Linked DNA regions of Saccharomyces cerevisiae S288C. The protein of the gene in region 1 interacts with the protein of each later gene in a biochemical or structural test. Each region holds a gene or a part of one and is shown on either strand. Other genes may lie near its edges.

Region 1 (4,288 bases):
ATGATATGTCTACTTCGCTTTGTGTTCGAGCAGCCTGGCAGTCCCCTCTAGCCGCTTTTTTCCCTTTCCGAAGGTTTCCGCCTAAGCCCCCTGGCTCTAGGCCGAGAAAATGTTAATGCTCCTTCTACGAGAAAATGCTTGTCGCCACACCAGGACAGGTGCTCGACGACGCTTCCGCTAATCTTTCTCAATGTTGTATCTTCTTTGGCGGTACATTACTAGTATGAAAATGGAATAAAAACAGTACCTAAATTATTTACTTACTTCCCGTTAAAGCAACCCCAAGTGCCCAATAGAAGGATAAATCAATAGTCAATATGCCTCCAAAGTTTGATCCAAATGAAGTTAAGTACTTGTACTTGAGAGCTGTCGGTGGTGAAGTCGGTGCTTCCGCCGCCTTGGCTCCAAAGATCGGTCCATTGGGTTTATCCCCAAAGAAGGTTGGTGAAGATATCGCCAAGGCCACCAAGGAATTCAAAGGTATCAAAGTTACTGTCCAATTGAAAATCCAAAACAGACAAGCTGCTGCTTCTGTTGTTCCATCTGCTTCCTCTTTGGTCATTACTGCTTTGAAGGAACCACCAAGAGACAGAAAGAAGGATAAGAACGTCAAGCATAGCGGTAACATCCAATTGGATGAAATTATTGAAATTGCCAGACAAATGAGAGACAAATCCTTCGGTAGAACTTTGGCTTCCGTTACTAAGGAAATTTTGGGTACTGCTCAATCTGTCGGTTGTCGTGTTGATTTCAAGAACCCTCATGACATCATTGAAGGTATTAACGCTGGTGAAATTGAAATTCCAGAAAACTAAGGTTGTTTATAACATCAAAAATCCATTCCATATATTATTCTGTACTTTTAATTTAAAAGGCTTTAATCTAACATATAAACCAAAATATTTTACTTCACGTTATATTCTTTTTTTTTACTGTTGCAGCAAATTGTAGTCCGGCTGTGTTCAATCAACCGTCTACATGTTGAAATAGATATTTCCATCTATGAAATGGGCCAAATTGTTCATCGACGTAAATATCAGGCAGGTTTCTAGTATTTGACCCTTCTCTTTGCAAATTTTTTGTCTTGACATCCAAGCTTCCTGAAACCCATCTTTCACTTGCTTGTATTATTGTAGAATTATTTCAACGATACCACTCATAACTAAAAAGGCTATCCTTCTTTGCATGTAGCCAATGCATTGAAGTGTTGCTATTGTCCCCGTTCAGGCTCTGCAACTGGATAAAATATCTTATTATGGTGACGGATTAAAATTATTCAATTTAAAAATCCTTCTGCAAATACAAAAAGGAACTTTTGAGTTTTACGTATTCTTATGTATTAGAGTAGAGAATATTTTAAAATAATAAACTAAGATAGTGTGTATCAGTTGTTATTTTATATGTGGTTTATGTTCATTTTTTTTACTTCTCTTTCGTTAATTCCATTTTCATTAACTAAATATATATTTGCCTGAAAAACATTATGTGCATGGCCTTCTTTTCTAATTGAAAGGTTTACATACATCAATGGCATGATAGGATGTTGCAACTTTCAATCTAAACATGGTTGCCATATAAAATATTACTCTAAAAATGTACTAAGGATAAAATTAAACGCTACCTAATCCTGCCGATCATAGGATACCTATTGTATGTTCAAGAAGAAGAAAATAGGTTCAAATTAATAGTTCAATTTAAACTTCGAGTCCATTTTACAATATTAGTTTAATTTTGGGCAATTCTTATAATTTCGGATTAACTAAAGTACCTATATAATTATACCTTATCGCGGCGAAAAAAGTATAAACCACTTATTGTAGTCTTCTAGCGCAGGCCTGCTCATTTTTGAACGGCTTTGATAAAACAAGACAAAGCATGTCAAAATTTACTTGGAAGGAGTTGATTCAGCTTGGTTCCCCCAGTAAAGCATACGAGTCCTCCTTAGCATGTATCGCCCACATAGATATGAATGCCTTTTTTGCACAGGTTGAGCAGATGCGATGTGGCTTAAGCAAAGAAGATCCGGTAGTCTGCGTTCAGTGGAATTCCATTATTGCAGTCTCTTATGCAGCAAGAAAGTATGGTATATCAAGGATGGATACGATTCAGGAAGCACTAAAAAAATGTAGTAACCTCATACCGATCCATACAGCCGTTTTTAAAAAGGGAGAAGATTTTTGGCAATATCATGATGGATGTGGATCTTGGGTGCAGGATCCTGCAAAGCAGATAAGTGTGGAAGATCATAAAGTATCACTGGAACCATATAGGAGGGAAAGTCGCAAGGCGCTGAAGATTTTCAAAAGCGCATGTGATCTAGTCGAAAGGGCGAGTATTGATGAAGTATTTCTTGATTTGGGCCGGATTTGTTTCAATATGCTAATGTTTGATAATGAGTACGAGCTTACAGGCGACTTGAAACTGAAAGATGCATTAAGCAATATTCGTGAGGCTTTTATAGGGGGCAACTATGATATAAATTCCCATCTACCTCTTATACCCGAAAAGATAAAGTCTCTGAAGTTTGAAGGCGATGTTTTCAATCCAGAGGGCAGAGATCTGATCACAGATTGGGACGATGTAATACTTGCACTAGGATCTCAGGTATGCAAGGGTATCAGAGATAGCATAAAAGATATTCTCGGTTATACTACTTCGTGTGGTTTGTCTAGCACCAAAAATGTTTGCAAGTTGGCTTCTAATTACAAAAAACCTGATGCCCAAACAATTGTGAAAAATGATTGTTTATTAGATTTTTTAGATTGCGGAAAGTTTGAAATTACATCATTCTGGACCTTAGGCGGCGTTCTTGGCAAAGAACTAATTGACGTATTGGATCTTCCCCACGAAAACAGTATTAAACACATCAGAGAGACGTGGCCTGATAATGCTGGCCAGCTTAAGGAATTTTTAGATGCTAAAGTTAAGCAATCTGATTATGATCGCTCAACCAGCAATATCGACCCTTTGAAAACAGCAGATTTAGCAGAAAAGTTGTTTAAATTAAGTAGAGGCCGGTACGGTCTGCCCTTAAGTTCTCGCCCTGTTGTAAAAAGTATGATGTCAAACAAAAATCTTAGAGGAAAATCGTGCAATTCCATCGTGGACTGTATTTCTTGGCTTGAGGTCTTCTGCGCTGAGCTTACGTCCAGGATTCAGGATCTGGAACAGGAGTATAACAAGATCGTAATACCAAGAACAGTATCTATATCTTTAAAAACAAAATCCTACGAAGTATATCGAAAATCAGGTCCAGTTGCGTACAAGGGCATCAATTTCCAGAGTCACGAACTCCTAAAAGTAGGCATAAAATTTGTCACGGACCTTGATATTAAAGGAAAGAACAAAAGTTATTACCCTTTAACAAAACTAAGTATGACAATTACTAATTTCGATATTATAGATTTACAAAAAACTGTTGTAGATATGTTTGGCAATCAGGTCCATACTTTCAAAAGCTCAGCAGGCAAGGAAGATGAGGAAAAAACTACCAGCTCGAAAGCTGACGAGAAAACTCCGAAGTTGGAATGTTGTAAATACCAGGTGACTTTTACAGACCAGAAGGCTCTTCAAGAGCACGCAGACTATCATTTAGCATTGAAACTGTCGGAAGGCTTAAATGGTGCTGAAGAATCATCCAAAAACCTTTCTTTCGGGGAAAAAAGATTGTTGTTTTCACGGAAAAGACCAAACTCACAACATACTGCCACACCTCAGAAGAAACAAGTTACATCTTCCAAAAACATCTTATCATTTTTTACAAGAAAAAAATGACCTATTCCAAATAGACAATTATATGGCTTCAGCAACTAAAACGTCCTGATAATATTGCTTTTCCAAAATTTCTAAATGATTCACGGGCGCCAGGTTTTGTTGATAAGAAGAACGAAGTACCTTTAATATCTTATGATCGGAAAATACCGACTGATGACTTTTGAGACTTCGCTTTTGATCAAAGTGATAACATTATGTACAATATTCATACTAGGATTTCTTGATAGAGATTTGGAAGTCTATAAAAAAGAAACAACTTGTTATAATTTATTTTTGTAGACATGACTCACAGAATATTACATACCTTCATAATATATAAGATCCATGTGATAATGAATGCTGGAAGCATGATCTCTGACCTCAGCTGATTGTTCAGGGGACTTAATCAATTAGATGCGTTTAAAGCAGGAATTGGTTTGATACACACAATCTCATGTTACAAAGTAACGCTGTTTAAAAACAAATCTGAAGAATAATAATGCAAGTAATATTATACATCATAAAAAAGTTATAC
Region 2 (5,054 bases), on another chromosome or scaffold:
CAAACCTACTTCCACTACGGAAACTGTAGCAGCTGCAGCTACCGCAGCAATCTTGGAGCAAGATGGTAAGGCCATCGTTGTATTATCTACTACAGGGAACACGGCAAGGCTACTGTCGAAGTATAGACCAAGCTGCCCTATCATATTAGTAACAAGACACGCAAGAACGGCAAGAATTGCGCATTTGTATAGAGGTGTTTTCCCATTTCTGTATGAACCGAAACGCCTAGACGACTGGGGTGAGGATGTTCATAGGCGCCTAAAGTTTGGTGTTGAAATGGCGAGGTCTTTCGGAATGGTGGACAACGGTGATACTGTTGTTTCCATTCAAGGATTCAAAGGAGGAGTCGGCCATTCCAATACCTTACGCATTTCTACTGTTGGTCAAGAATTCTAGTAAAAATTAAAGTCCTTATTTTTTTTACTTAATTTTATTTAATTGTCCATTGTGTCAGTTATTTTTTTTTTCTTTGGTAATAATCATGCAGATATTACAGGTAATGTTCGCAAACTGCGTGTTTACTGTATGCTGAAATGTTTTTTTTTTTTTAATTCAAACTTCAAAGTCCATGTCAAGTTTACGCACAGTCTGGTAAGTATGTTTATTTCTGTTTAAAAGTGGAATTATATCATTGAGTAAAATTCTTTCCCACGTTTGGAAGCCTGAATGATCCTGATTTAAAAAGGCGCAGAGATTTAATTCCCTTGATATTAGGTTTGATAAATGAAGAACTAAATGGACTCTATTAGAATCGCAAAGTTTAATCAAATATTTCACGAATAATTTAACATCTTTTTCATGCGGCCCTCCATCACCTAAAGTTTCGGCAACCCATTGTTTCACTAATTGACAAATTTTTTTGAACCGTGTCAGATTTTGGAATTTGATCGGCTGGAATATACTATTTTGGCCCATGAAATGATTTTTCTCGTTCTGTAGGCTCTCTTCTCTCCTTTTTATCTTTTCTTGTAGGTTTCCTAACTTTGTCTGTTGGATTTTTTTCTGAATTCTCAAGTCGTGCCTTACTTCTGCTCGAATTTGGGTTGGTAGTTCATTCATAAACTGTTCTTCCATAGTACTGGGCAAATCATTTACTTCTAATCTGGAAATGGCAAATCCTTTTTTTTTAGAGCTCAATGAGTTTGAAGTCAACCCGGATTCTTTTCTCTTATAATTTCTTTTCTCGAACTCGTTGTTAATGTCATTTTTTACATCTTCCGGTAAGGCTTCGAAAGCTCTGTTCGTCACTATTGTTTTAAACGGTAACCTCAGTTTCAGCTGATTGTTATCCGGACCCACATCAACCAATTTGTTGAATTGTAGAGCAAGACCTCTTAATTCCATTGGAGGGCAGCCCAAAGTTCGATACAAACTTTTCATTTCGGTAGCAATAATTCCAAATTCGTTTGTTGGAATACCTAATCTGCTGCTCCGACTGAATGAGTCGCACCTTCCCATCCCCATATATTTTGGGGGTTCAATTGGAGCGTCTTTACATCTTCTCATCAGTTTTAATGTGATTTGTGACGTTGTTTTGTTTATTTCATTCAATTTTTCTAAAAGATACTGACAACCTCTTTCTATGAACAAGTCTACCTGAGTGATATTTTTAAATCTGATTCCCCAATTGATATCAATTGATAATGATTTTCTTTGTAAGACTTCTTTGGGATCGTACAGTATTTTCAAGCTTTCTTCATCATCTTGGCCTTGTAACGCGAGATGAATCTTCATACCTAACTTAGAGCCGACGCTCGCCTTCAAAGCATCTAAAGTATATCTTTTTCTCAAGTCATTTAAAGAATGTGGGCTATCAAACGTTGATTCTAACCTTGACAGAGTAGAATGCCCAACTCCAGGCAGATCATCTAGTTTGAAACTAGACCAGAATTCTTCAGATAGGTTACTCTTAAACGTGATATTGTAACCATTTGGTTTCGCCATTTTGAGAGCTAGTCTTGCTAACACAAGAGAATCGGAACATCCAATGCTCACTGTGCAACCATTCGTTCCTTGAAAAATTTCTTGGCGTATTTCTTCGCACAGTCTTGCATTTAAGGTATTAGTGTTATGAATATTATCAGGGATTATCCTCACACAAACAGCTTCATCAATAGATATAGGTAAAATCAAATTGAATATGTTCAATCTTTTGAGAGTACTGTAAAAGGCTTCCGATTTTAATTGAAATTGCTCAAAGGTATATGGTAATGATATTAGTTTGATCCCATTTGGCAACATCTTTTCAGCTTGAGACACCCACATTCCATTTTTAATCCCATATGACCTTGCTACATAATTGCAACTAGCTATATCGGAGTTTTTAGTACCATGGCATACCACTATAGGATCCCGTTTAAAATCACATGCTGAGAAACTAGAACTTCTACATAGATACGCAACAGTTGCAAAAAAACAGTCAAAATCGATATGAAAGATAATGTAGGTATCCTTATCCGTAATTTTGGTGTACTTGTGGATGTTTTCATTCAGAAATTTATCTTTCAGATTGGCCTTCCATGCGGAGAGATGATGTAATCTCGAATGAGCAAAATAGGAAGTAAGGAAATCAGGATCATCACAAGCGACTATCCTTTTCGCCTCCAAATTATTGAGATTTACTGGTGACTGCTGTTCTACTGGCAACAATGCCGACCCTACACATTTAGATCCTTTGTGCAGGCTAGTCTCTGAGGGCAATGGAATTGAATTTACGGTTTTACAATTATCTAGTTTTTTTTGCTGTTCATCAAGTTTAGATGTTAACGAGTAATTTTGCCAGGGCAATAATCTTGCTTCTTTGACGCTATCAACTATCCAATCCGGACTGACTACTTTGTAATTTGCAAATTCAATCCTTTTCTTTAATGGTAAATTGGAAGCCACTATGTGAGTAACCGTTTTCTTTGAAGACAAATAGTGTAAAAATTTTCCGCCATGTAAAACTATCATCTCGTGTAATTGCAGTCTTCCAGGTTTGGTGTAGCCATTTATATAGATGACGCAATTTTTGAATATTTTACTGCTTTGACTAGAAATTTGATCTTTATATTGATCTTTTAATATTTGATCTTGCAGGGTTTGTCCGTGCGCCTTCTCGTGGAAATAAGCCTCCCTAGTATACACAGTATTTTTTTTAACATCATCACCATTGCTATCACTTTCCTGGATCTCGATGACGCTACGAGCTATAGGTGAATCTTCGCCACCGCCAAGATCAGCATGTAATTCATCACAGCTAATATTTTTAGTAGTAAATCTTAAAGTACCTGCAGTTGGATTAGAATTATTCTTATTAGTTTGGGAGAGTTGGTTGACATATTCAATTAAGGAATCATCGCTTAACGTAGATAGAAAAGACCTTGCATTCAAGCCGCCGGTCTTTGCTGTTAAATGTGAATCATTGACACTTTGCTGGCTAAGGCAATTGTTTTTATCAGGTGTTTCCCTATTTATAGAGTATTCCAAATCGCTGTCCAATAAATCTACAAGACCACCATGTTCACCCATCGCTGGATATGCCTAGAAATGCAGTATCGATTTATTTTGAGAAAATCTGTCAACTCGTTACTTCTTTGATAGGGAAATCTTTAGTTAAATTTGTTTAAAATTAAGAACCAGGTCTTTAGACTATGCCAAAAGGTATTGGTGCTTAAAGGTTGCCGTAAACTCTAACTCTATATATCTCTAAGCCAATGTTTAAGTTGATGCGATGTGCATGATCACTTCACATTTTTTTCATGATTTTGTTTTCTTCCTTAGCTACTTTTTTCCGTCTTGGTCTGTGTAAAAAAAAAATCGCTTCACTGAAGAAAAATATAAATAAAAAAAGGACATCAGCAAGTTCGTAGTCAATAAATGTGATGAGTAATTTGCGATAATCTACCCCAACTCAAAGCATTCAATTCAAATGAAAGAAGAGTTCGTGAATTTTAATCTGGCTTACAGATTGGATCATAGCTTCTAATATATCTTCCTTTTTATTTTAAAGTGATTAAAATATGTGGATGTCTGCATTAAGGTGAAGGCAGACTATAGTGAAAAATAGTAGCAAAGGCTTCATATAATGAACTACCTAGTTGTATTCAATTGGAATCTGTGAACGCGGCATTAAAAGAATATTTGAGCTTTTTTTGATTGTATTAACCTGAAGCTATCACGGTTTAGACTCATTAAAAGAAAAATATCCGGTTGTATCGGATAACAACACCGCTGTAGTAGCACAGTTTTTTGATCATAGTTTCATTATTTTTTTAAATATGCTTGTATACAGTAATCTAGTTTTGGACGGATTATTCATGTCAGTAAGATTTTACTATCTACTTTAAAATTATCGAAACAGATATCAACTATACATCCACTCATTATTGGCATAGCGAAATAAAATTTATGAATAGGAAGGATATAAAACGAAAATTGAAATCGTTTAGTATTATATGAAACTATTAGTCTTTTCGTTTTCGTCGTCATACTTACATTCTTCTTTTATAAATATTGTTGTGCCTAAGAAACAAAATTAAGTAACTGTCTAAAACGAAGTTGCAAAAAAAGGGGCGAGCTGGGAATTGAACCCAGGGCCTCTCGCATGCTTTGTTCCTCCTGTTTGATCAGGGGGATCGCCCAAAGCGAGAATCATTCCACTAGACCACACGCCCATACAATTTGTGATTTCTCAAAGTTCAAGATGAAGTATTATAATTTTATATTCATTTTCCTCAGTCCCAAAAACGAATGGTTGAAGAGAACTGTTGGAATAAAAATCCACTATCGTCTATCAACTAATAGTTATACTATCAATATATTATCATATACGGTGTTAAGATGATGACACAAGTTATGAGAAGCTGTCATCGAAGTTAGAGGAAGCTGAAGTGCAAGGATTGATAATGTAATAGGATAATGAAACATATAAAACGGAATGAGGAATAATCGTAATATTGGTATATAGAAATATAGATTCCATTATGGGGATTCCTAGACCCTCGAGGAGAACTTCTAGTATATTCTGTATACCTAATATTATAGCCTTTATCAACAATGGAATCCCAACAAT

What was found.
Region 2: the proteins of RAD30 (region 1) and REV1 form a complex in vitro, tested with the Saccharomyces cerevisiae proteins (3 studies listed by BioGRID).

Annotation. Positions count from the first base shown.
Region 1 is NC_001136.10:1,301,299-1,305,586, forward strand, and holds RAD30 (DNA-directed DNA polymerase eta), read left to right. Parts: upstream 1-1,875; coding exon 1,876-3,774; downstream 3,775-4,288. Other genes in the region: 60S ribosomal protein uL11 RPL12B, read left to right, coding at 318-815. UniProt on the Saccharomyces cerevisiae protein: DNA polymerase specifically involved in DNA repair. Plays an important role in translesion synthesis, where the normal high fidelity DNA polymerases cannot proceed and DNA synthesis stalls. Plays an important role in the repair of UV-induced pyrimidine dimers.
Region 2 is NC_001147.6:980,285-985,338, reverse strand, and holds REV1 (deoxycytidyl transferase), read right to left. Parts: upstream 3,512-5,054; coding exon 554-3,511; downstream 1-553. Other genes in the region: pyruvate kinase PYK2, read left to right, coding at 1-397. UniProt on the Saccharomyces cerevisiae protein: Deoxycytidyl transferase involved in DNA repair. Transfers a dCMP residue from dCTP to the 3'-end of a DNA primer in a template-dependent reaction.